Linked DNA regions of Canis lupus familiaris. The protein of the gene in region 7 interacts with the protein of the main gene of each other region in a pairwise test. Links are inferred from orthologs where the notes say so. Each region holds a gene or a part of one and is shown on either strand. Other genes may lie near its edges.

Evidence for each region.
Region 1: the proteins of EFHC2 (region 7) and EDC3 interact in binary tests that used the Homo sapiens proteins (3 or more experiments, as listed by UniProt). The link is inferred for Canis lupus familiaris from reciprocal best matches to the Homo sapiens genes EFHC2 and EDC3.
Region 2: the proteins of EFHC2 (region 7) and LONRF1 interact in binary tests that used the Homo sapiens proteins (3 or more experiments, as listed by UniProt). The two-hybrid records come from large-scale screens. The link is inferred for Canis lupus familiaris from reciprocal best matches to the Homo sapiens genes EFHC2 and LONRF1.
Region 3: the proteins of EFHC2 (region 7) and MAPK9 interact in binary tests that used the Homo sapiens proteins (3 or more experiments, as listed by UniProt). The two-hybrid records come from large-scale screens. The link is inferred for Canis lupus familiaris from reciprocal best matches to the Homo sapiens genes EFHC2 and MAPK9.
Region 4: the proteins of EFHC2 (region 7) and CLIC3 interact in binary tests that used the Homo sapiens proteins (3 or more experiments, as listed by UniProt). The two-hybrid records come from large-scale screens. The link is inferred for Canis lupus familiaris from reciprocal best matches to the Homo sapiens genes EFHC2 and CLIC3.
Region 5: the proteins of EFHC2 (region 7) and voltage-dependent L-type calcium channel subunit beta-4 interact in binary tests that used the Homo sapiens proteins (3 or more experiments, as listed by UniProt). The two-hybrid records come from large-scale screens. The link is inferred for Canis lupus familiaris from reciprocal best matches to the Homo sapiens genes EFHC2 and CACNB4.
Region 6: the proteins of EFHC2 (region 7) and CCDC120 interact in binary tests that used the Homo sapiens proteins (3 or more experiments, as listed by UniProt). The link is inferred for Canis lupus familiaris from reciprocal best matches to the Homo sapiens genes EFHC2 and CCDC120.

The regions. Positions count from the first base shown.
Region 1 is NC_049251.1:38,207,579-38,211,825, reverse strand, and holds the start of EDC3 (enhancer of mRNA-decapping protein 3), read left to right. Parts: upstream 1-1,447; 5' UTR 1,448-1,590; exon of another isoform or gene 1,591-1,596; intron 1,597-1,915; exon of another isoform or gene 1,916-2,045; intron 2,046-2,688; 5' UTR 2,689-2,760; intron 2,761-4,247. UniProt on the Homo sapiens protein: Binds single-stranded RNA. Involved in the process of mRNA degradation and in the positive regulation of mRNA decapping. May play a role in spermiogenesis and oogenesis.
Region 2 is NC_049237.1:37,045,957-37,049,456, reverse strand, and holds part of LONRF1 (LON peptidase N-terminal domain and RING finger protein 1), read left to right. Parts: intron 1-2,027; coding exon 2,028-2,186; intron 2,187-2,292; coding exon 2,293-2,455; intron 2,456-2,621; exon of another isoform or gene 2,622-2,698; intron 2,699-3,500.
Region 3 is NC_049232.1:1,729,426-1,732,925, forward strand, and holds part of MAPK9 (mitogen-activated protein kinase 9), read left to right. Parts: intron 1-388; coding exon 389-554; intron 555-1,454; coding exon 1,455-1,526; intron 1,527-1,868; coding exon of another isoform or gene 1,869-1,940; intron 1,941-3,500. UniProt on the Homo sapiens protein: Serine/threonine-protein kinase involved in various processes such as cell proliferation, differentiation, migration, transformation and programmed cell death.
Region 4 is NC_049230.1:48,633,792-48,637,960, forward strand, and holds CLIC3 (chloride intracellular channel protein 3), read left to right. Parts: upstream 1-1,378; 5' UTR 1,379-1,803; coding exon 1,804-1,839; intron 1,840-2,565; coding exon 2,566-2,675; intron 2,676-2,757; coding exon 2,758-2,883; intron 2,884-3,004; coding exon 3,005-3,111; intron 3,112-3,193; coding exon 3,194-3,369; intron 3,370-3,442; coding exon 3,443-3,652; 3' UTR 3,653-3,669; downstream 3,670-4,169. UniProt on the Homo sapiens protein: In the soluble state, catalyzes glutaredoxin-like thiol disulfide exchange reactions with reduced glutathione as electron donor.
Region 5 is NC_049240.1:54,751,282-54,754,781, reverse strand, and holds part of voltage-dependent L-type calcium channel subunit beta-4, read left to right. Parts: intron 1-80; coding exon 81-341; 3' UTR 342-3,500. UniProt on the Homo sapiens protein: The beta subunit of voltage-dependent calcium channels contributes to the function of the calcium channel by increasing peak calcium current, shifting the voltage dependencies of activation and inactivation, modulating G protein inhibition and controlling the alpha-1 subunit membrane targeting.
Region 6 is NC_049260.1:42,416,817-42,419,951, forward strand, and holds part of CCDC120 (coiled-coil domain-containing protein 120), read left to right. Parts: intron 1-287; coding exon 288-428; intron 429-822; coding exon 823-1,117; intron 1,118-1,473; coding exon 1,474-1,536; intron 1,537-1,777; coding exon 1,778-1,952; intron 1,953-2,099; coding exon 2,100-2,198; intron 2,199-3,135. UniProt on the Homo sapiens protein: Centriolar protein required for centriole subdistal appendage assembly and microtubule anchoring in interphase cells. Together with CCDC68, cooperate with subdistal appendage components ODF2, NIN and CEP170 for hierarchical subdistal appendage assembly.
Region 7 is NC_049260.1:38,446,048-38,449,547, forward strand, and holds part of EFHC2 (EF-hand domain-containing family member C2), read right to left. Parts: intron 745-3,500; coding exon 493-744; intron 1-492. UniProt on the Homo sapiens protein: Microtubule inner protein (MIP) part of the dynein-decorated doublet microtubules (DMTs) in cilia axoneme, which is required for motile cilia beating.

The DNA.
Region 1 (4,247 bases), on a different chromosome or scaffold from region 7:
AAAGTCTTCCAGTTTGAACTCTGGGCAAAGTCTGTTGAGGTGGTCTTAGGGACAGTTCTTTCATTCAACAGACACACATTTTAGCATCTACTCTTGGCAGGCACTGTGCAAGATGGTGGGATTACGGTTAGGTATAACCTTCAGTTGACTTCTGGGCTACAGCAGTGCTTGCGGTGGAGAAGACAGATGTGGGTGTGTCCAGATTGGGTGGAGGCTGGTGGCATCAGAGGTAAAAGAATTCACCTGAGGCAGAACAAAGGTGATAGAAGTTTATTGAATTTCCAGTTAGCTGGTCAGGAAAGCAAAGGAGAGACTGTCAGGAGGCAGTGTTGGGCTGTAGTTTAGGAGGTGGTGAGGAGGGATGGGAACATGGAATTTTCGTGTTTGGGTACCTGTGCCCGGTTGCAGGTAGCCCATTCCTCAGCTTAGGTCTATGGCTATTTTCAGGTGGGTCGCCTAATGAGTCTGTTTGCATTCAGTCCCCTGGTCACTGTGGGCACCTCTGCCCGACTCAGGTTTCCAAGTGCTTATTATGCCTGTTGCCTAAAAGTGGCCTCTACAACTAATTCTCCTGGGAATCTTAAAAAAAAAAAAAAGTTATTTGGCCTGGAGTATAGAATCCTAACCAAAAAAAAAAAAAAAAAAAAAAGACACAAGAGAATTAATCACCCCTTTAGGAATGCCAATCAGGTTCAGGTGCACATTTCACAGCAGTTTTTTTTTTTTTTTTTAAGCTATCTCAGGTTCATCTCAAGCCGCACAGCTGTTCTGGAAAAAAACAAAACAAAACAAAAAAACAGAAGGTAGAGTTAGGATTCAACCCTGAGCTTCACACCCTAAGGGCTCCCGGATCTGGAGGGTGTAAAGGATCGACTGTAAAGACCTTTAAGATAATACAGGCATGGGATCCCTGGGTGGCGCAGCGGTTTGGCGCCTGCCTTTGGCCCAGGGCACGATCCTGGAGACCCGGGATCGAATCCCACATCGGGCTCCCGGTGCATGGAGCCTGCTTCTCCCTCTGCCTGTGTCTCTGCCTCTCTCTCTCTGATGATGACTATCATGAATAAATAAATAAAATCTTTAAAAAAAAAAAAAAAAAAGATAATACAGGCCGGTGATCCTGGAGACCCGGGATCGAGTCCCGCATTGGGCTCCCTGCATGGAGCCTGCTCCTCCCCCTGCCTGTGTCTCTGCCTCTCTCTGTGTCCCATGAATGAATGAATGAATGGATGAATGAATGAATGAATAATAAATCTTAAAAAAAAAAAAATACAGGCCGGGGTCCCTCCAGACTTAAAACTGGATCTCTCGCGATAAGGGAAGGGTGGGGAGTCCCCGCAGAGGGAGCTTTTACAGAACTCCTCCCCTTACTTCGCAGAGCCACGTTCGTAACCGCCCTGCTGCCCGCGCAGGGATTCCCAAGCCGGGTCTCGGGCTTTCCCGCGATGACCTCGCAAGCCCTCCAGGTCTCCAATTCCCCAGGACGCCGCTCGCAGAGGCCCCGGGGAACGGCGTCCCCCCGCGCACCGGGAGCGGGGGCGTCCGGCCAACGCTGAGCCCCAACGCGCCGGAGCCCACGCGCGCGGACGGGTAACCGCGAAGGGAACCTTTAATCCTTTAATCCGTCGCGGGGCCGACTCCTTGCGTCCGCAGCCGCGGCTGCCGGAGTCGACGAGGCCGACGTCGCCGGGCGCCACCTCCTCCCCGAAGTCCTCCAGGCGACAGTCCTCGGCGACAGGCCTCGGGGGCCTGGGGGGAGGGCGGGAACCGGCGCAGAGCCCCGTGCCCGCGGGCGGGAGGGCGCGCCCAGGATCTTGATCCCGCTCGAGCCTTCCCGGGAGCTCCGCCCCGCGCCGCCGGCCCTCGGGGTTCCAAGGCGTCGCGCCGGAAGTGACCTCACGACGGCGGCGTGGAGACGCGGGGCGCTTCCGGCCGCGGCTGCGGGGGTGGGTGTGGAGGAGCCCGTCGAGCCTCCCGGTGTCGGCGGGTGCGTGGCGGGCCCCGCTGGGCGCGGCGTGCGGAGGCAGCGCTCGGCCGGCGTGGAGGTGGGCGCGAGGGGGCGGCGGGGCGGCGGGCGCTGGCGGGAGGGGGCTTCCGGGGCTGCCGGGCGGCTTTGCTTTTGGCTTCGCGGTTCCAGGCCTCGTAGAGGTGCCTGGAGGCGCGCGCGCGGGCTGGGGGCCGGGTGCGGGGCGCTGCCTCGGGGGGGGGGTGTGGTTGGGGGGGCAGGTCGAGGGCCGCAGGAGCGTGAGCGCGGGGGCCCTCGGCTTCGCCCGGGCACGGCCGCGGCAGCTCGCCCACTCTTTGCTCCTTGCCCGGTGTCGCCCTGCACAATGGAGCGCGGTGGCTCGGAGCTGCGCGCGCCGGTGCCACGTCCCTGAGCCGAAGCCCCTGCGGGCGGAGGTGTGTTGGGGGGGTCTCAGGCGCAAGGGCGGCTGAGGACGTGACACCGGCCAGGTTCGCGGCTTCGTGATTCTTTCCAGGTGCAGGCGCTCTTTGTGTGATAACCGAGTGAATTTTTATCAGTAGTAACCGGCTCGTCGAATGGCTTGTGCAAGGCGGGGCACAGCGCTTGGCCAGTCGGTTTTCAATGAATCTCTCCCAATTCCAGACCCGGGAGGGGTCCCCGCAGCCCTCTCCCGCGGTTACGGATGAGGAATCAGTGGTTTTTGTTCTCTCCCCTCTCCACAGACTAAACCGATCGCGGGTCTGCTGCCCTATACAGGTCTTAACTTCCATCAGAACAGAATTGTCTCTGAGCAGGTTAGTATTGCACCTGGAAACCTCAGGTGGATTCTAGTTTTTTTTTTTTTTTTTTTAATTATTTTTTAAAAGATTTTATTTATTCATGAAAGACACATACACAGAGGGGCAGAGACACAGGCAGAGGGAGAAGCAGGCTCCCTGCAAGGAGACTGACGTGGGACTCGATCCCAGGACCCCGGGGTCAGCCCTGAGCCAAAGGCAGACGTTCAACCGCTGAGCGGTTCAACCCAGGCTTGATTGATTGATTGATTGGTGAATGGCAGATTAGATGTACTCAATTCAAAATTCCTGTTTGTTTCTCTGTAGGGAAGGAAGATGGTTACAAGTAATGAACTTTGTGACTACTAAGAATTTTTTTTTTTTTTTTTTTTTTTTTGATAGGCCTGTGGGACTAGCAAAGTGTGTTTCAAACTTTTTTTGACCCAGGACCAACAGCTGGATACATTATTACATTATGACTTAATGTGCTCCCAGCATGCACAGGGTACACACACACACCCCTCCCAAAGGTTTACCCTTTCTGCATAGGATGCTGGTTTACATTTTCTATTTCATTAAAACAGAAAAAGTTGATTGTAACTCACCAAATTGACTGCTAATGTGTCTGACCGCTAAAGAACTGTAGTGTAAAAAACAAAGGACTGGAAAATGTTTAAAGTGTTTGTGGGGGGAGGATCCCTGGGTGGCTCAGCGGTTTAGTGCCTGCCTTTGGCCCAGGCAGGGCCTGATCTTGGGGTCCCGGAATCGAGTTCTGCCTTGGGCTCTCTGCATGGAGCCGTTCTGCCTTGGGCTCTCTGCATGGAGCCTGCTTCTCCCTCTGCTTGTGTCTGCCTCTCTCTCTCTCTGTGTCTATCATGAATAAATAAGTAAAATCTAAAAAAAAAAAAAAAAGTATTTGTGATTCCTGAGGTGCTGTAATTAATGCAAAGTAGAAAATGTGTCATTTTTCTGTTCTTAATAGCCAGAGTAGCAGGGTTGCTAGAGTTATAAATTCTGCCAGAAGAGGACATTCAAATGATATCTCAAAGGAATAGAATGAGAGTGTGTCGAATTTTAGTAAGGCATCAGTTAAAGTCTTTTATGATGACCTGGTGGGTGAGTTAGGGGATTTTGCCAGATTGTGGTGAAATTGGATGGAATCATGGTTTTGAGCACCTATGTCTGGAGGGGTTTGATTTATGGGTACAACTTGCAGTTGGGATTCTGCCGAGTTGAGTCTGTATCCCTTTTCTTTATATACAGTATTTACAGCCTATCTGGAAGGTGTGCTTACCAGATTTGTTGCCTTTATGAAGTGGAGAGAGAATCTGGTTAATCTCAAGATTTGCCTAGTGCAGTTTAATGAAATGTAAGGGTCATATACATGTCAGAAATTTCAGTTGAGTTAAAAAAAAAAATACGGGGATCCCTGGGTGGCGCAGCGGTTTGGCGCCTGCCTTTGGCCCAGGGCGCGATCCTGGAGACCTGGGATTGAATCCCACGTC
Region 2 (3,500 bases), on a different chromosome or scaffold from region 7:
GGAGGAGGGATTTCCTGCAGTGACATCAGGCAGTGGAACTGGGAAGGGAAGCCTCAGGTACCTGGCAGGGCAGGAGGAGGGTTGAGGAGAAATGGCCCAGATTGGCAGGTGCATCAGCCAATTAGAGCTTGGGAAGCAGGTGGGCCCTTGAGGCCTGAGCCTGAAATCGGAAGGAGTGACTTAGGGGCCAAATTCTCAATTAGTGAAGATTATTGAATGGTAGATTTAGTGCCAGGAGGTAACTTGGGCAATAGTGGTACAGACCACTCTGAAGGGTGAGCACCCAGTGGCTAGGTGGGGATGGGTAGGTTGGACTTGCTTTTGCTGCTCTGTATTCTTTCTTCCTTGTCTTTTTCTTCCCTTCTTTAACCTTCGTGTCTTTCCCTCTTGCTCCAGCTACACGAATCTCTTTAAATTTCTTACGTAGGTATTTCATTTCTTAACTTTTCTTTTGCCCACTTTCTTTTAACTGGACACACTAAAGGACAGAATTGCAAATCTTACATGCTGGTTTTTGTTGTTTTTTTTTTTTTTTTTGTCTCCATTATTTTTTCTTACTAAGAAAAAATTGTGCTTGCAAGCTTAATACATGTCCACCAACTGTCTTTCACGGGGCCAGTGGCCTTCAGTAGAATGCTTTCCAATCTTCTCTTGACTGAAGCCGATACTGATTTGTCTTCAATGGAACTCACTGTGATCTTATGATAGAAAATATTCTGATAGGAAGATTATGAACCTTTTTGATCAACACTACAAAAAGCCTGGATATAAGAAAGCAGTAGATTTACTTCTGAAATCTGAAAAATAGAGACTCTGCAGAAGGGTGGAATCTGCAAATAATAGATGGAGTAGTAATGTGAGGGGGGCTGAGCGTGATGCCCAGTTGCTTGAGAGAGTCTTGCTGCTTACTAACAGGCTTTTTTTTTTTTTTTTTTTTTAAGGATAGCTCATCCCCTGGTACTTAAAAAGTTTTGCTAATAGATATACTGTTTGGTTTTCTATCAGTTCTTATGTTGACATGTAGAGTGCTCAGTGATAGTAGAATACACATTTTTAAAAGAGGAACTAGCATTTGTGTTATTAAATACTACTTTTACATATGTCTTTTTGAAGAAAAACTAGAAAATATTATAAATGAGCAGGGTGAGGGGCCATAATCTATAACCCAGAAGGAATCAATGTGGGCATTTTGGCACATCTCCTTCCAGATTTTAATATCTATAAATACACTTTAAACAAAAATGGGATCATTTTATTCATATTGGTCTATAATCTCATTTTTTCCCAAGTCAACAAGTGTATATCTTTTCATGAAAATACGGTATTTCATTTTATGGTTATGTCAGTGTTACAGTAAACATCCTTGGAGGATTATTTCTAGGAGTTCAAAAGATACGAACTTTTTAAAGTTTTTGACGCACGTAGTCGAATTTTTCTTCAGCATGGTTCTGTTTCAAATTGCCCTCTGCATTGCCAGATTTTCCCCCATACCCTTGCCAGAACCGGGCGTTGCCTTTATCCTTATTTCCTGGCAATCTGGCAGTGAGAAATATTCTCTAATTAGCAGAAGAAAAAGTTACCAAGTTATCTGTTTTTGATAGTGCATTTGAAAATACTTTAATGCCCTACAAAGAAGCTTAACAATTTGCTCTTGACTGTGGGAGTTCATTTTTTCTTATCTATAAGTAAGAGTATTTTATGGATAAAAGGTTAACTGTTATGTTACAAATATTTTAAACAGGTTCTTAATACATAATACTAACACTACTTCTTATCTGTAAAGATAATTTAGCTCTGTATGATAACCTGGTATCTTAAATTCAGATTTACTTTTATAAAAGGATCACAGACTTAGTATTAGCATTGCATCTGTGTGAGCTTAATGAAGGAGATGTTGATTCTAAATCTTAGCTCTAAATAAGATGACTTTTATTTTTGCCGACTTTTTATATTAATTTATCAGTGTTGCAGACTTCATTTTTGTTTTATGTTCTGATGTGTGATAATGAAACTTTTTTCTTTTTCAGCTTGACCAAGAATGTTCCAATATTTGTTTGCACTATGGCCTACCCCACTGTGCCTTGCCCTCTTCATGTATTTGAGCCAAGATACAGATTGATGATTCGAAGAAGTATACAAACTGGAACTAAACAGTTTGGGATGTGTGTCAGCGATACACAAAATAGGTATGCTTTTTTGGTACATGAATATTTTTATGTTAGAACTTGCTTTGAATTTTGAGAACTTGCATGCTTGTTGCTTGAACTTTATTAATCAGAATTTTTCTTTTAGTTTTGCAGATTATGGTTGTATGTTACAAATTAGGAATGTACATTTCTTACCTGATGGAAGGTCTGTGGTTGATACAGTTGGAGGAAAGCGGTTTAGGGTTTTAAAAAGAGGAATGAAAGATGGATATTGCACTGCAGACATTGAATATCTGGAAGATGTTAAGGTATTAAAAAATGCTTTTTTTAGCCCACCTTGGTATACTCTACCCTAGGCACTGTACAGGCATACAGGCTGATCTTTTTCCAGGCACATAAAACGGTTCTTCTATCAGAAGATAGACAATACAAATTAGCTCCAAGTTACCTTTTTCTTATCTTGCTCTTACTTACTGAGAGTTCCAGGAGAACTTGGGTATCCAGAACGTAGATCATCTTCATTTCTACAAGCTCCACAACCAGCATGGTGCCTGGAATGTAGGTGGACACTGTGAGCACTTAACAACAGCAGTTAATTGAACTTTCAATCCATCTGAGTTATGAGAGCTGCTAATCTCTGCCCTTTTTAATTAAAGTTGATCATCAAAACTAATATCATCAGATTTAAGTGTGATATAAAGGAAAACACATAAAATCCTTTAAAAACTGTTATATATGTGTCTGACATAACCTTAATGATAAAAGAGACACAGTTGGGGGATGTGTTCAAAATCCAGGGCATCACAGAGAAAATACCATCACCATACTTGTTGGTGACCGCTTACCTAGGGAGGCTTATTGTGATAATCTTCGTGGACAGGGTTATGTGGCCTTTTTGATGTTTCCAGTATCTAATCACCATCTGTGATTAGTTTGAGTACCAGAAAAAGGATTTGTGATGCTATCAATATCAAATTAAAGGCAGTTTCCTTTGGAAGGGCATTATAAAACCATTGATCTTATGCTTTTGCTGTTCACTGACTTATTTGGGCCTTTCCTTTTATTTGCTTACTGAATATTGGCATTAGGCATTTCTGTAAACATTAGCTCATTGAATTTTCAAAACTCAGCAGATGAGGGAAGGTAAAAAAACAAAAAAGTGTTAATTTGCCTAAGATCCTTTAGGTAGAGTAATGAAAATGACTTAAAGCTAGCTCTCTGGCTCCCAAGTGCTGTGCTTTATCATTATGCCATAATTGCCTCTCTGGTAAACTCGATTAGTCTGATATTGCCTATCCTATTATTAAGATGCCATGGGGACACTTTTCTTTGTGCAATGGGCCAAACAGATTG
Region 3 (3,500 bases), on a different chromosome or scaffold from region 7:
TAAGATGGTTACAAGCAAATGTATGTAAATTATGTGTGTGGCTTGCATTAGATTTCTGTGGGACAGCTGGGAACTGAAGAATGAACAGGTGGGAGGAGGGATAAGTGGGTTCTGTGGCAGCTCCGAGGAAATTTTAAGGAAAGGGATGTCATGAAGTTTCTCACACAGGGATGAGGGCAGCCATCTGACTTCTGCAGGCTGATTTGTATTCATTTTAATTTGAGAGAGTAGGGTTTTCCCAAATCACAGGGTTCATTGCTAACCCTCCTCAGTGTCCCAGGACTCAGGTACCTCCATAGACCCCGGCCTCACAAATCCCCACCAACACAAGCTTGTCTCTTTAGCATGCTCTGGTTTGTTGCACTCATTTAAACCATTTCTGCCCTAGGATTTGAAACCTAGCAACATCGTAGTAAAATCAGACTGCACGCTTAAGATCCTTGACTTTGGCCTGGCCCGGACGGCATGCACCAACTTCATGATGACACCGTACGTGGTGACGCGCTATTACCGGGCACCTGAAGTCATCCTGGGCATGGGCTACAAAGAGAATGGTGAGTGTGGGCAGCACCGGCAGAGGCTGTGGCGCTCCTGTGCGGCTGCAGCTCACCACTAGCCAGGTCCCCTGAGCCAGAGGAAACACCACGTGGGGGCTGTGTTATACGCAGGTTGTCATGGCCCACAGACTCGAAGTCATTCATCTCCCGTCTCCACTGGCAGAAGTCACCCATATCTACAAATATACTTTCAAAACGAATATTTTCTCAAAGTATAATGTATTTAGTATAGAGAAGTATGTGGACCCATACCGCCAGCAGTACCCGGAACCTCCCCAGACCTTCTCCAGGTCTCAAACCCCAAAGGGAGCCATTATCCTAGTTCGTGGGGCCAAAACTTGGTTTTATTTATTTTTGAACTTGGTACAAATGGAATAATACATGTTCTCTTTTGTTTAAGACTGGCTCTTTAACATTAAAACTTACCCTACCGATACCAGAGCCCTTTGTAACTGAGCTCTTGACAAATTTGTCAAAAAGAGCTCAATCACAGTTATTTGCTGAGTCTGAAAGTTTGCACAGGTCATCTGGACTGAGCCATGCTTTAAGATATACGTGCTTTGTAACCAGTGCTCCCAGCCTGACAGACACGGTTCTGTGGCTACGTGTTGGCCCTGTTGGCTCCTCCCACCAGCGCCAAGGAGAGGTACTAAATAGCCCTCTGTCCAGCCATCTGAGGCCTGGGGTTCTGATGGGCCCCAAGGAAGCCTAGATGAGCAAGCCCACCCCTGTGAAGACCTGCCAACATGGCAGTTTAGCAGAGGATTACTTAGGAAGCATTGTGTCCGTATTTCACAAAAGCTCCCATTGACAAGCTGGGTTTGTCTTTGTTGGGAGGGGGTTTGAGAAAGATGCATGGGGGTCTCTGGCTGGTTTTAATCACCTGGTGTTTGGTAGTGGACATCTGGTCTGTCGGGTGCATCATGGCAGAAATGGTCCTCCATAAAGTCCTGTTTCCAGGAAGAGACTGTATCCTTCACAGGGAGAGCCCCCGCAATGGCCACCGGGGTGGGCATGGGGGGAGGGCATGTGGCCTACAGATAGCTTTGTGGGGACAGGCACCTCTTTTTTCTGGGGTTTTGTTTGTCTTTTCAGCCATAAAGTACTGGAATCTTTGACACTAAAGCCCAGATTGCTGCAAGCTGAAGGCCAAAGTAGCAGCCAGCAATCATTCACACTGTGTAAAAAGCTCACCTTTAGCTAGAAATTTTTTTCCATTTTTGTGTGTTTAGTACACTGTTAGAATTCCTTTTCCTCACCTTTGTTTTGTTCATGGCACTTCATAATTTTGTCATTTCATTTTATTTTCAGTTGATATCTGGTCAGTGGGTTGCATCATGGGAGAGCTGGTGAAAGGTTGTGTGATATTCCAAGGCACTGATCGTATCCTTCCCGGGACGCTCCCGGCCATGCTTTCCATAAATGCGAAAGGCAGCAGGAGCTCAAATGGAAAATGTTGTAATTCTAGACTGTGTCCTAAGGGGTTCTTTATTATGTTTGTTAAATTAGTGTCACAAACCAAATGGTTCAGGTTTCTGTTTTCTTTTTCACTTGACTACCTGTAATGACTTTATTAAGGCTTAGAATTAAGTTAAACTGATGATATTCTTAATTTTATTAAAAATAGCTTAGAAATTGATTTACTCTTTGACAAATGTATTCTGATATTTGAATGAAAATACTGCTTATTTAGTTCACTGAGTTAATTTAACAAGGGAAGTTGCTGTCTAAATTTAATAGACCAGTATTGTGTCATTTACTTACTATACCATTTTGTTAGTTATCAGTATGGATTGAAATATCTTCCCCCAAAGTAAGAACTGAAGCGTGCTACATAAGACTGAGGTAAAAGAGACCAAAAGGAAAAGTTTGTGAGGAACAGTATATTAATTTTCTCGCCTGTTGACATTTTATAGAAGTTTTTTAAAGATCCATCTAGAAGGTTCTTTTGTGACACACTTGGGGAAGTCTAAACAAACATGATGCAGAAGATTAACTTATACTGTGGTCAGCAAATCACATCAATGACATAGAGCATAAAGCAAAAGAGACAATAGAACAGTTATAAGAGCTTTCTTTCCTCGTGGTCCTCATATTCTTCCATCTTTAACATTTTTTACTCTGACATATTCCCTTTTTCATTTGTGTTCTAACCACTTACGATTTTCATTAGTCTTTGATTTTGTTTTTTTGTTATCAAAGCCTAAAGTAGTCTCTGTCTGTTGGCAGATTGATGGTTATTTTTAAAGGAACTCAAGCTGTGTAGTCAGTGTTTAAATGTATTTTATTGAAATTATTTTAGTTTTTTATAATTTTATGAGGGTGATTTTCTTGTAGTATAAATTCTTTACAACACAAACATGGAATGAAAAGATTTTGTTCCTATCATTTTATTTGCCTTCCTTGATGTTTTTCATATCACAGATTTTATGTGAAGTTGAATACAGCATTTTATTTGTTCTAATAAATTTCCTAGCAGTTTTCCATAATCTTTGCTTTGATTCGCTTGTTCTAAACTGTAAATAAGGAGGTCTTTCTTTGGAAACAGACTCAGCTTAAAAGGAAGAAGTTGATATATTCTAAAGAGAAATAATTTAGAAATATCTACCTAATGTTCAGTCTCAATTCATAGTCATTTTGTGTCTTTCTTTTTTTTTTGAATTAATTAAGAAATGTTTTCTTCAGAAAGTACAAAAACTGGATACTTTTTGGTGGATTTTTAAGCAATTTAAAATCCTTCCTTACATATTAGCATCTTGCAGTATTGGTAATTGATAGTTTTATATATAAGGCCATCTAATGTCATTCTCAAAATACACACAGAGATTAACATCATTTTGCAAAGGCAATTTTGCCCACTCTTTCAAACAGTAGATTAAAAACTGCTAGGATGGAAAAAGATTCTGGCACCAAGATTGCAGTTCTCTGAGATTTGCTTCAGAT
Region 4 (4,169 bases), on a different chromosome or scaffold from region 7:
ATGTGGAGGCCAGAAGTCCAAGATCGAGGCTGGGGAGGGCTGGTCGCCACTGTGGTGGTGGCCCGGGCTTGGAGCAGCACCACCTGTCCTTGGCCTCCATCCACACATGGCATCCATGTGTGTCTGCATCCAAACTGCCCGCTTCCGGGGCAGCCCAGGTGGCTCAGGGGTTGAGTGTCTGCCTTTGGCTCAGGGCCGTGACCCCGGGGTCCCTGGGATCAAGTCCCACATCAGGTTCCCTGCAGGGAGCCTGCTTCTCCCTCTGCCTGTGTCTCTGCCTCTCTCTCTCTCTGGGTCTCTCATGAATAAATAAATAAAATCTTAAACAAACTGCCCGCTTCCAAGGACACAGTCATAGTGGGGCAGGGCCTGCCCTGATAACCCCATATCAGTAGGATGGCTTGTCAGGGCTCTGTCTGAGGCCCAGGCGGCGAGGACTTCACACGTGGATGGCAGGGGCACAACTCAGCCACATCACCCAACCCGAGACTAGAGACTCACCACCTGTGTCCTGTCCCAGGAAGTCACCGGGTCCCTCCTGCAGATGGGGCCATGCTGCCCAGGGGACAGCACGCATTCGTTGATGTGTCCCCGGGCTGAGGGGGGCTTCTCACCCCCTCATTGAGTACAGAGCCACATCTTTACCCGCTGCAGCCCCGAACCAGGTCCTGTCCTAGTTTGTCTCTTGAAATAAGTGTGAAGTGAGACATGCTCCCATTCACTCTGTCAGTGTCGGTGTATTTCCTTTTCTCTGAGCTACCTGGTTGCTGGTCCATCTCCTGATCATACCTACAGATGCACGGGGCTATTTTTACACACACAGAAATACCCAGAGGACGGCTGGCAGGCATGCACAAGGTGTGGAGGGGGCCCTGGGCCTTCCCTGGGGCTGGGGTGTATGCGCCCGGAGCAGCAGGTGAGTGGGCCAAGCCCCCACCCCATTGTGGAGGAGCAGCAGAGGCACTGGTGCCTAAGGGGGAGCCGGAGGGAGGAGGCAAAGGTACAGGCAGGTCCCCAGCTGTGTGGAGGGGCAGCGTAGGCTTTGGCAGGCCCCTCCCTCGGGGCACCCTCACCCAGGACTGTGAGCCACCAGACAGGCGGGACAGGTTAGGGGGTACCCACAACGTCCTCTAGAGGTTCCTTCCAGCCAACCGTGAGCAGGCTGACGCATGGGCTGGAGGTTGTAGCTCCTAAACCTTCTCATGGTGCTTCTGGGGAAGGTTAAGGTGGAGGAAGCCTGCCTGGGACCCCCTGGGAGGGTAGGGACGGCAGGGGGTGTGGCTGGCCAAGGAGGGGCACCTGGGCAGGCCAGCAGCACTCCTGGAATGTGGGCTGGTCCAGGGGCGGGGCTGACCCAGCTCAGTGATGGGAGGGGCCTCCCTGCCCAGGAGGTAGACAGATGGGGAAACCAAGGCCAGGGCTAGGGTGTTTGCTTCTCCTACTCACTCCTCAGCTTTTTGGGCTGGGGACCCCAGTGGACAGTGGGGTGTTCACTGCAGGGAGGGCCGTGGGCTCATGGCAGGACTGATCCTGATCCAGGGCAGCCCTGTGCCCAGGCTGGCTCCTTTCTCTCCCCACCTCTGAACCCCCAAAGCCCCCTGGGGCCGCAGCACCGGCAGCCCCCCAGTCACACCCCTGCACTTGGACACAGGCCCCAGAGCCCCAACGGCTGGCCTGCCTGCAAGGGGGGATGACTCGGTGGGGCGGGCCCTGGGCTGGGGAGGGCGGAGCACCCCAGCTTTAAAGGGCTCCCCAGGCTCCCACCCCTGCCTCACTGCCTCCCACCGCGCTGCGCTCCTCACCATGGCAGAGACTGCCAAGCTCCAGCTGTTTGTCAAGGTACCACCGGGTGGGTGGGCAGGCGGGCAGGCGGCCCGGGGAGGAGCATGCTCAGTGGGGCTCGGCTTTCTGGGGCAGGCAGTGGGCCCCAGAGGCTGCGTGTGCACTGGATGCAGGTTGCCTGTGGAGGCTGAGGAAAGGGGCCAGGACTGGGCGAGGGCCTGGGGAGCCGCCCCGAAGGCCATGCGAGGGGAAGCCGGGGGCGAAGCCCCTCAGTGGGGAGGTGCTGATCAGCAGCTGGCAGCCGAGGCTCGTGTGAGGGTGGAGGTCAGCGCTGCAGGAGGGGGGCTGGGCCGGGTGACCCCCGTTGCTTGCATCACTGCCCGGGGCTGTGGATCCCTGTGCACCGGCTGCCAGCCCTGGCCTTCCCCCATCGTTGGGGTGTGGGGCAGTGAGTGTGCTGCCAGCCAGTGTCCAGTTGGCAGCATGAATCACTCAGAAAACAGTACTCGGCCCACCCTGCCCTCGTGACCAGCCTGGAGGGCCTGGAGACCGGGAGGCTGGCCTCTGCCCAGGTGCTGGAGATAAGGGTCCCCAGGGGCCATGTCCCTGGGCCCCCCCACCAGGGACCCAGTCAAGGGCTCTCACCCATCACTTGTTGAGGGCGTGGCCGACCAAGCTCCAGGCACAGAGCGGGGGTAGGCAGGGTCCTCTCTGGCAAAATTCTTAGGTCTGCTCTCTGCCCTGGCACCCTCTGCCCCGGCCCCCTCCACCCTACCCGCCCAGGCCAGCGAGGACGGTGAGAGCGTGGGACACTGCCCTTCTTGCCAGCGGCTCTTCATGCTCCTGTTGCTCAAGGGTGTGCCCTTCACCCTCACCACGGTGGACACTCGCAGGTGAGCCCCCTGCCCCCAGGGGACCATGGCTGGGCCTCTGGCCCTCCTGAGCAGCAGCTTCCCCACCTGCCTATGCCCACAGGTCCCTGGATGTGCTCAAGGACTTTGCACCCGGCTCGCAGTTGCCTATCCTTCTCTACGATGGCGACGCCAAAACGGACACATTGCAGATCGAAGAGTTTCTGGAGGAGACACTGGGGCCACCTGAGTGCGTGGCGGCAGGGGCGAATATGGGTTCCCTGTAGGAGCCCTAGAGAAATGCTGAGGGTGCGGCGGGGAAGGGGGCGCGACACCAGGGTCTGACCGGAGCTTCCCTGGCTCCCCTGCAGATTCCCCAGCCTGGCACCTCGGTACAGGGAGTCCACCACGGCAGGCAACGACGTCTTTCACAGGTTCTCCGCGTTCATCAAGAACCCAGTGCCCGCTCAGGACAATGGTGAGGAGGGTCTCGAGCCGTGGGGTGGGAGGGGGACATTGGCCTGGCCCGGCCCTCACAGTGCCCCACCCCACCCCCGCAGCTCTGTACCAGCTGCTGCTGCGCGCCCTCACCAGACTGGACGGCTACCTGCGCAGGCCCCTTGAACACGAGCTGGCACAGGAGCCACAGCTTCAGGAGTCACGCCGCCGCTTCCTGGACGGCGACCAGCTCACGCTGGCCGACTGCAGCCTGCTGCCCAAGCTGTACATCATGGATGTGAGTGCCACACGCGGGACAGGGGTGGGGGGTGCTTCCTGCAAGGCCCTGACCTCGCGCCCCTTGCCGGCAGACGGTATGTACACACTTCCGCCAAGTGCCCATACCCGCTGAGCTGTGCGGCGTCCGCCGCTACCTGGAGAGCGCGCTGCAGGTGAAGGAGTTCAAGTACACGTGCCCATGCAGTGCTGAGATCCTGGCGGCCTACCGGATGGCCGTACACCCCCGCTATCCCCTCCCCACTGCTGACCGCCACCCTGTCTGCTTTTCTACAGCCCCATAAAGGCATGTCTGCCCCAACGAGTGTGTCCTAACCTTCGAGGGCCCAGAGGGCCCTGGATTTGTCACCCCCAAACCGCTGCCAGGCAATGCACAGCTCCACGTGACAGCCCAGAATGACAGGGGCAGAGAACCCAGTGGGTGGTTCCACCTACCTCCCCTACTCACCCTGTCAGGGGTGGTAGGGACTGGATCGGGCTCCCAAACCAGTCAGGCCGGGGTGGGGCAGCAGGATGGCCAAGGAGGGTGGGGAGCAGAGCCCAGCCTGGGCACCTAGGGGCTCCTGGCCAGGGGGTGGGGCCAGCCCACATTCCTCAGCCCTGCCCAGGGAGCAAGCCACCCTCCAAAGCCTATAGGATCTAGTGTGTATGCAGTGTGGGATGTCCGTGGCTGTGCCTGGTCGGGTGGGGTCTGGGAGAGTGAAGTGTGTGCCTGGAGCTGTTGGCAATAGAGTTCCAGCCTCAAGGAGCCCTGCCCCGCCTTCCAGTCCCCCGGCTGCTGTGCTCACCAGGCAGGGGCAG
Region 5 (3,500 bases), on a different chromosome or scaffold from region 7:
CTACTGTTGCACATACATTTGCATATTCTAGGTGAATTAAGTTGACACGATCTAATCAATGGACGATCTGATATTTTTAGAGTCAGCGTATGAGGCACAGCAACCACTCCACGGAGAACTCTCCAATTGAAAGACGAAGTCTAATGACCTCTGATGAAAACTATCACAATGAGAGGGCTCGGAAGAGTAGGAACCGCTTGTCTTCCAGTTCCCAGCATAGCCGAGATCATTACCCTCTCGTGGAAGAAGATTACCCTGACTCATACCAGGACACTTACAAACCCCATAGGAACCGAGGATCGCCTGGGGGATATAGCCATGACTCCCGACATAGGCTTTGAGTCTGCAGAAGCAAACAAAAAATTCATCTGTTGACAATTTGCCATAGCACTGCTAGGATAAACCAATCATCTTAACTTGGCAAGTACAGCACGGTATTTACTGTGCTTGTGGGCTGTTGTCATTTGATGCTAAGCAAGGGGCAAAAAACAACAACAAAAAAGTACGTTATGCCCTTAAGTCTAGATGGTTATTAGATGCCCAGTCATATAGATATTTTTAAGCTCAGCATTTACATAACAGTACCTTTTGTTTTCTTCATTAGATTTAGACACATCGATTTGTAATTTAGGGTACTTATCAAGGCACATATAAAATAATTTCCCATGCTGGAAATTCCAAATGACCAGTTCCAGTTGGAACCAATTTATAAACCAATTCCTGTTGGAATTTGGGTGAATCGACTAGAAAGTCTACTTGAGCATGTTGCAGTCAATTTAAAAATCTGAAAAAAAAAAAAAAAAAAAACCAAAAAAAAAAAAAAAAAACAAGACCCACAAAAACAACCAAAAACCTAATTAATAAAAAAATCAAAATACCGAAAGAAGCCAAAACCAGATATGGTATTTATTTGCTGGAAGCTAAATTTACACTTAAAGTTGAAATGTATAAACATTTTAACATATGTTAATGTAGACATAATGGCTTTTCAAACTCACCAAATGTATTGATAGTGCCAAAAAAAAAAAAAAACCCACCTCAAATTAATTCAGAAATTATACACTATCCTCAGATTTTAATATTTTTGTTTCTCTACTGGCACAACTGTTGTATTCAAAGTGTTTTGCTTTTTGTTTAGTCACTACTGTTAGCTTGTTTGAAGTTGGCAAAAAAAAAACCTCAAACTTTCTTTAGCAGTGAGAGAGAACACTATAGAGAAGCCCAATCATAGGTGGTCACGGGAAGTGGAAAAGGGGTGTTTCCCCTTTCCTGGCTCTGAGCACAACCACATACATCCAGGAACCTGAAGTCAGTGAGGATGGGCACAGATCCTCCTGAGCACGAAGCTAAACATCTCCAGATGGGAATTCATCTCTCCAGCTTCCCACAAACATGGGCCGGTATTTCCTGCCAGCACAATTGCATATCTTTCCATTGCTCCATTCAGTCTCTGTCTTCGAATATGTGAATGTTCTAGCCCTTCCCCAAATTCTTTATAGTCATGCTAACGACCTGTTTTACATGGAATCATTCAATTTTGATATCGAAAGCTGTGTTTATACAAAATGATCAAATGAAAAAAAAATGTGAAAACAAATGATGAATTTAAAAGCTTGCAATAAAAAGTAAACTCATAAATTCAGAGTATATTTGAATCGTAATTAAAATTGCAGCATTTTTATTGTCTAGAATTATAAAGAATTTGGAGATTGAGCTGCCTTATTTCTAATGAACAGTCCTGTTCACCTGTTAAGTCTTGACAGTTTTTCCAGTGGCTATAATTATGAAATTGGTGACCTTCGTCTTCTATTATCAAGGAAGCCTTAGATTCACTATGATCCAAGGGATTACTGAAATTGACCCTTTTATACAATACGCAAATATCTTTCAGAAAAGACTCTTGTTTCTAAAAGTCCACAACGCATGCGTTTTTCTAAAGCCCCAGTAGGACCAGGCGTAAAAATACCTTTCTACTGGCACGTGTCAGGAGGCCTATATTTTGAAGACAATAATAGTTGATTTCTATTACCCTATTTTCCTCCCAAGCCTCTCAATCTCTAGGCTTTCAGAGCATGCACCAGTTAAATGATTTTCCTGACCCATGAAACCAAGTTCCACATTCTCGATTGTGATACACACCTTGAACCGCGTCATGACGTCCCACATTCCCTCCCCTCCTGTTCACCATGCATAGTCCATCGTGACCCTCTTCAGCTGTAACTGTCTAAGTTATCTCACGTATTTGACACAATCGGAAATACGGGCTCAGTCAGTTGTAAAGGTTAACATGTGATATTGGCCTGTGAGGTTCTTTTGTCATCTAGTGAAGCTTACAGAACTTTCAGTTAAGACATTTGAAACAGCTGCATCCATTAGACACTTCAATAAACATATAACCTGCCATTACTGAATACTTGGTTAGAGCACAGAAGAGCATTTTCCAGCAAACGAAATATATTTATTACATGTACAGCACATATTTGCATGAGAAAGAAAACATTAGCCAAAACATTTTTCTATATGCTTTACTGGTTTCTTGTTTGTGCGCATTAAAGTATTTAATTGCAAAGAGTGCACCAAGGTGATAAATTTAGACTAGACAGCTGTTCAGCTTTTTCTGTAGTAGCATTAGCAATCTGGTCATTTAACTACTTTAAGATACTTACATTTTATGGCAGGTAGCTGCAACAGCATTTACATATATTTCCTAGTCAGCAAGATTACCATATTCTTTCCATTTTTAAAGACCACTTGTTTTTAAAATCCTCTCAAAGCCTTGTTTCTAAGTCTTCCATGTCATGCTGATAAAGAGAGAGGTCCATTCAATATCTGTGCACAAAACCAATCTGTCGTTTGCCATCAAGTGTCCGTACCTGTTCTGCTTTGCATTCTTATTCAAAAGCTAACAATCGTGGAAAGGGTAAAATATATATTTTCTTGATGGATATATTTAAAATTTTACGTTGACTTGGCATATTCTTTTCCATTCCTTTTGTAAAAAGTTTATCTTCTCCAAGTAAATAAGAGATATACATTTTCCTTTTTTTAGTGTTAGAGTTTACTGTGTAAATGATGCTAAAATACAGATATATACGAAATGAAAGTTTTATTTTTGCCAAGCATATCAAGCAACTTTGAAAAATACATATTCCACAGACACTTTGTTTTTAACTGATTTCTTTTCAAAATAGCAAATGATAAGCAGAAGAAACAAGTCTTACAATGTGTTGAGGCTGTTTTACCTTGTAGAAGTCACATATTCCGTAACTTCAGTGTATGTAATATCAGAATATGTAAGCTACATATTCTATGATTTCAGTCTGCGAACATGTAACACTGTAGACTCATGTGACAATGTGAAAATGTAGTTCTGGGGGAAAAAACAATGAATGCAGTTTGTCAGTCCTGATGCTAATTCTCAAGGCTATAATGTGACTCCAGTATTATAATCAATGATGTTATCTTGTTTACTCCAATATTTAAAGCAACACTTGGAAATG
Region 6 (3,135 bases), about 4.0 Mb from region 7:
TTACAGAATGTGTGGTGTATAGACTGGGTCGCCTTTACAAAGAATAAAGAATTCTGGATTCCAAAGCGGGTCTCCCTACCTCCCATGCCCACTGCCCCAGGGATTTGGGCCATCGAGGGCTGAGAGTCCACAGCATACCTGTTGGGTGGAGAATGGAGAGGAAGGAGGAGTAACAGGCATGGGCAGCTGAACATTGCTGAGCTCCTAGTAGGACTTCTGGAGTCATTACCGCTTTGCCCCATTCCCCCAACTAACCCTTGGTAGTCTCTGTCCCCTGCCCCCACCAGGAGCTGACTGGCCAGCTGCCCCCTGAGTGTCCACTAGAGCCTGGTGAACGGCCCCAGTTGGTCCGCCGGCGGCCCCCTGCAGCCCGAGGCTACCCTCCTTCGCACCCCAACCCTGCACACCACTCCTTATGCCCTGCTGAGGTGAACGGAGGGGCCTAGGGAGCATGATGGGGGTGGGCCAGGTACAGAGGAGGAGCCCAGAGGAAGTTGGGCAGCCTTGGAGTTGTGGCCAGGGGGGCGGAGAGGCTAAGGTGAGAAGAGAATGGCTTGAGGGATGTGGGTTCCAGCTCTGAAGGAAGATGCTGGGCCCCTGCATCATCGTCATTGTGATAAGCCTCTCACCTGGGGAAGATGAGTATGTTTAGTCCCTAACCAGGACAGGCACCACCTGCAGAAGAAATGAGCTCCGCCCCAGAATAGGCCCCTCTTCCAGCCCAGACAGCCTCTGCCCCCCCCCACCCCTCACCCCCCATGCCCCATGCTTGGCCATTTGGAACATTCGGTCCGATCCTGCCCTCTTGGGTGGGCCCCGCAGGAGCTGGCTCTTGAGGCCCTGGAGCGTGAAGTGTCAGTACAGCAGCAAATTGCGGCTGCGGCTCGCCGCCTAGCCTTGGCCCCCGAGCTGAGCCTTGAGCAGCGCCGGCGCCGGCGCCAGGTCCAGGCAGATGCGCTGCGGAGGCTGCACGAGCTGGAAGAACAGCTTGGGGACCTCCGGGCCCGGCTGGGCCTCCCGGTACTCCCACCGCCACAGCCTCTACCCCTGTCTACCGGGCCAGTCATCACTGCCCAAGGAATTTGCCTGGGCACACGCCTTGCTCAGCTCAGCCAAGGTGAGCCAGCCCTGTGTTCACACAGGTCAAAGCGGGAGAGTGGGCATGGGTGGAAGGACGTGATAGGGGTGGGGTAGGCAGCCAGCCAGTGAAAGGTGGGGAGCTGGGTGGGACTTGAGGGACCTGACCCGGGAGAGGAGTTGTGATAGACTGGCCCTGCAGTAAGGGTATGGCCACTGGGAACTTGGCCAGATGGCACCAGGAAAACCAGGAGCCAAGCCTCAGGTAGTCTTGGATTCAGGTAAAGATGGGTTCTTGGGAAGGAACAGGGCGGAGAGGAGACCATCCAGGGGTGCGAGGGAATGGCACCCAGGCCTTGCATTGATAGGCCCGGGTCTCCCCCTTCTCACTTACAGAAGACGTAGTTCTGCACTCAGAGAGCAGCTCCCTCTCAGAGTCTGGGGCCAGCCATGACAATGGTGAGGACCCCTGTGCCCCAAGCCCACCCATCCTTTGATGCTCAGCCCCTCCACTCCCTCTTTAACCCCTTCTTAGCCATACCCCATCCTCACACGGGGCCCCCCATCTTTCTTGCATCACCCTGACCCGCTCATCATCCCCATTTCCAGCCTCCTGCCTTAGTTCCTGCCCCACCCTCTGCCTGCAGCCCCCCAGGGTCTCTCTCATTGACTTCTCCCCTACTTGCTGCCTTCCTCCCAGAGGAGCCCCGTGGCTGCTTCCCTCTGGCCGAGCGCCCCTCGCCACCCAAGGCCTGGGACCAACTTCGGGCAGTGTCTGGGGGCAGCCCCGAGCGGCGAACCCCATGGAAACCACCGCCGTCAGATCTTTATGGGGATCTGAAGAACCGGCGGAACTCTGTGGCCAGCCCCACCAGGTGAGGGTGAGCCCCTTCCCTCCCCAGGGAGCTGGGAGTGGGCTCCTGAGCCTGAGCTGGGGCAGGAGGTGGGTATGGTCTGGGCTGCTCTGGTGGGTATGGTCTCTAACCCAGGCCCTCACCTGGGCCTGCCCGTCTTTTGTCTAGCCCCACGCGCTCGCTGCCTAGGAGTGCCTCCAGTTTTGAGGGACGAAGTGTGCCTGCCACCCCTGTCCTCACCCGGGGCACTGGCCCTCAGCTCTGCAAGTAAGGGGACTCTTGAGGGTGGGTTTGATGACCAGAGGAAGGAAGGGGTAGTTCTGATGAGAAGAGCATTAGCAAAGGGTGTGGGATGTGAGAGGCTGGGCTTTGAAAGGTATATTTTGAACAAGTCATCTCCCTTCTCTGAATCTTTGCTTCTCATCTATGAGATGGGTGTAGTATCCGCCTCTGAAGGACACTGTGCACATAATAAGTTCTGTTTACCTGTACTGAGTGCCTAACATCTGCTGGGAGTTGGTACTCTCCATGTGTCAACTCACGTAATTGTCCTTAGATCCCTGTGAGGTAGATGCTGTTGTTACTCCCATTTTATAAATTAGGAGCCAGAGGCACAGAGAGGTTAAGTGACTTGATACTAAACTGAAGACCTGGTGTTTGAACCCAGGCCACTTTGATTCTAGAGTCCATGCTTCTAATCACTGTATCCTTCTACTTGAAGAAATACTTGATAAGTGCCTGCTTTTCCCAGGCTGTGAACATAACAAAGCCCCTGTCTGTAGGGCACCTACATTCTGGGAATGGTGGCTGGCAGGATGATAGTTTGGGGTGGTTTATACACATGGTAGGGACAGAGAGTTCGGGAAGTTGAATTCCAGGCCCCAGGATTGGGACCCCATCGTGGAGGAGGCCGGGAGCAGGAAGGGCTGAGGATCCCATGTATTGGGGAAAGCCCTCTGCTGGCCCTCCCCTGTCCTTACTTCCTCTCCAGCCCTGCACGTGCTTCCATCTCCCTTGGCACTGATATACATCAGCATCCCATACATCTTCCGTCCCTCTGCCCCCCAGCATGGGACAGAACCTCCACCGCCTTTTACATGCCCCCGCTTAGCACCTGCATACATGCGGTTTTTAATCGGGTCTCCTTCGGAGATGCACCAGTGAAAGCTCAGGAAGAGGTGGGATCCGGCAGGCACTTGGCCTG
Region 7 (3,500 bases):
TTTTTAAGATTTATTTATGTATTTATGGAGGCAGGGGCAGTGGGATCTCAAGCAGACTGCGCTGAGCACAGATCCTGACATGGGGTTTGATCTCAGGACCCCAAGATCATGACCTGAGCTGAAACCAAGAGTCACTCAACTGACTGCACCACCCAGGTGCCCCACAAACAATTAACTAGAGAATCTTTTACTTTCAGAAGACTGATTATGAACTCGATGAATATGCACTTTCTCTTGCATTTCACTTTTTTCCTTTACTTGCCTTGATTAAACCCAGAATATTCCAACCCTGATTTGTCATATCCTCTATGGTACTTTCATAGATGTGTATTAATAGCACAAAATGAAGGTTTCTTAAACACCTGTACTCATATATGATAAGTGACACATAGTCATGACATAGTCATAACCCATAACATTCTGGACAGTGAGTGGCGAGAGTCTCTCAGCCCACAGGTAAACTCGGGAAGGGGTTCTGGGTCTGCTGCTCACCTTGGGTAGCTTTCTCCTCTGGAGGAATAATGACATAGCATCCCGGCCTGAGTTATGTGGCATCACTTCTTTGACTTCAATGGTATCATCAGACAGAAAGTAATGCAGAATGAGCTCCCTTCGGTCCCCAAACAGGGTAGCTGAGTCGTCCCATAGGCAGAAGAAACGTAAAACCTTCCTATCATACTCAAGGAACTGCTTCAGGGTGTCAAAGGACTCATAGGGGCGTAAAGGCTTCATGCAATCTAGAGTCTGAAAAGGGAAAAAAAAAGTCAAGAACAGCAGTTGTGCATGATCACTTCTGGGATGCAAGCAATCAAAGAACGTAAAGATACCTTTCCCACTAACTATTCTGTGATATTTTTTTAAAGGTCAACTGACTAATGACATAGATATATATACATCTACAGCCAGCTGTCACCTTAAAATTACAGTCAAGTAGTAGGAAGCTTTTAATATTAAGCAGTGTTGAGGGGGACATTGATGGGATGAGCACTGGGTGTTATTCTATATGTTGGCAAATTGAACACCAATAAAAAATAAATTTATATAAAAAATATATTAAGCAGTGTTTTAATACACTAAAATACACTTCTATGACGCCTTTGAAAACTGGTTTTTCTCCAAGACTTAAAATTCTTAGGAACACACAAAACTCATGTGTGGTGACAGAAATTAGAATGGTAATTGCCTCTGGGATTGACCGGAAAGGGGGAGAAGGGAACTTTCTGGGGTGATGGAAATATTCCATATCTTGATTTGTCACTTACTAAATTGCATACATTTTCCAAAACTTGTTGATCTAATGCTTAAGACTTATCCATCTGAGTCTATGTTAATTATATCTCAACCCCCTCCCCCCCAAAAAAACCTGCTCATCTTTTTGCTGAGAATTCCTATCTGTATATCCTTCTTATTCATCCAAAGATTTTTGTAAAAGTAAAAGGGAAGAAACACAATCACAGTTTTATTTTACTCCAAAGCTTTATAGATCAAGGATCAGGAAGGACAGGAGCAGAGCAAATGGAGAATTTCCCAAGCCACCCAGAACCGCTGCATGGGTTCTGTCGCCCAGCCTAGGTACCACTACTTCTATGATCTTCTTGGTGTGACTCTATTTGCATGTTCTCGGCCCTGTCTTGGGAGCAAAACTGCCCTCATTCTATCTGATGTAGCCAAACGGGATCATTATATAAGTGCTCATTGGCAAGGAAGGAGTCCCCTGTCAGCTTATGTAATCGTATCTGTCAATTCTCAGAATCCTCTATCTGTCCAGGGCAGTCTGGGTACAGACTAACTGCAAGATTGGGGGAGACATCGTGGCCTTCCAGGGGCTCTTACCCTTCTTCTACATCCTGGATATTTAAATGAAATTATGGCACCTCTACTTTCATCAACTGAAAAATATTTCTTTGGCATTCTAAGGCCTTTAAGGAATGCATTATTGATTATATACCATTGGGACTCTTTTCAGTTTAAGTTAAATTGTTTAATTTTAACTTTATAGTTGAAGGTAGCAAACATTGGAGAAGTAAATGCATTAAAGTCAATATAAAAGCCTCTTATTAAACTCCTAATTTTCCACAGATTGCTATATTTATTGAAGAGCTTTCTCCCCGAGGGATTAAATGCAAAAATTATTTTCCCAACCTGAAAGGAAATTAGTTAAAACATTTCTTGGCTGTTCCTGGTATTTATTCTCTATTCCTGGCACAAAAGATTTTTTTTCTTCATAAACCTATGAAATGGCACAGTGCTCTCTGTATTTAATAAAATGCATCATCATCCGTAATCGCTATCATATAATACCAACTGTGAGTGAATGAGTGCAGCCATATGCAAGAGGTGGTAATTCATATGGATCCATTCTTTTAGGTTCTCTCTTCTCATTGTAAAGACTCTATGTTTATCTAGGCTCTTTCATCTAGGGCATTTGGAAAAAATAAAAATAAACCCAAACTATAAATCTGTTCATATGCCAATATACACAGGTATAATTCCACAGGGACTTCACCTTAAATATTCCAGGATCAACAATATATATTTTTCAGGAGGGCTGCATGCTTACAACATTAAAGAATAACTCTACTGGGGTCAGGAGGTGGAACAGATGAATGACCCTACACTTAGCTTTAAAAAAAGATATCAAAACAGAATCTGGGTGTTATATGTTGGCAAATCGAACTTCAATTAAAAATATATATATATGGGGCAGCCCAGGTGGCTCAGCAGTGTAGTGCTGCCTTCAGTCCAGGGCCTGATCCTGGAGTCCCGGGATCGAGTCCCACATCGAGCTCCCTGCATGGAGCCTGCTTCTCCATCTGCCTGTCTCTGCCTGCCTCTCTCTCTCTCTGTGTCTCTCATGAATAAATAAATAAAATCATAAAATATATATATATGGAAAAAAAGAGGGTCCAGGTCCCCAAATTTCCACTGACTGATAAATGGATAAAGAAGTAAATGGGATACTACTCAGTCATGAAAAATAATCAAATCTTGCCATTTGCAACAATATGGATTAAGCTAGAGGGTACTATGCTGAGCAAAATAGGTCAGTCAGAGAAAGACAAATAAGAGATGAACATAGGTCTGAGAAAGAGGAAAAAGGGAAAGAGGGAAGCAAACCTTAAGAGACTCTTTTTTTTTCTAAGATTTTATTTATTTATTCATGAGCGACACAGGCACAGGGAAAAGCAGGCTCCATGCAGGGAGCCCGATGGGGGACTCGATCCCAGGTCTCCAGGATCAGGCCCTGGGCCGAAGGTGGCGCTAAACCACTGGGCCACCCGGGCTACCCACCATAAGAGACTCTTAATGATAGAGGACACACTGAGGATTCCTGGAGGGGTGGTGGGTGGGGGATGAGCTAAATGGGTGCTGGGCATTAAGGACGGCACTTGTGATGAGTGCTGGGTGTTATGTGTAAGTGATGAGTCACTAAATTCTACTCCTGCAACCAATATTCCACTGTATATTAGCTAACTAGACTTTAGGTGAAAATGTGAAAA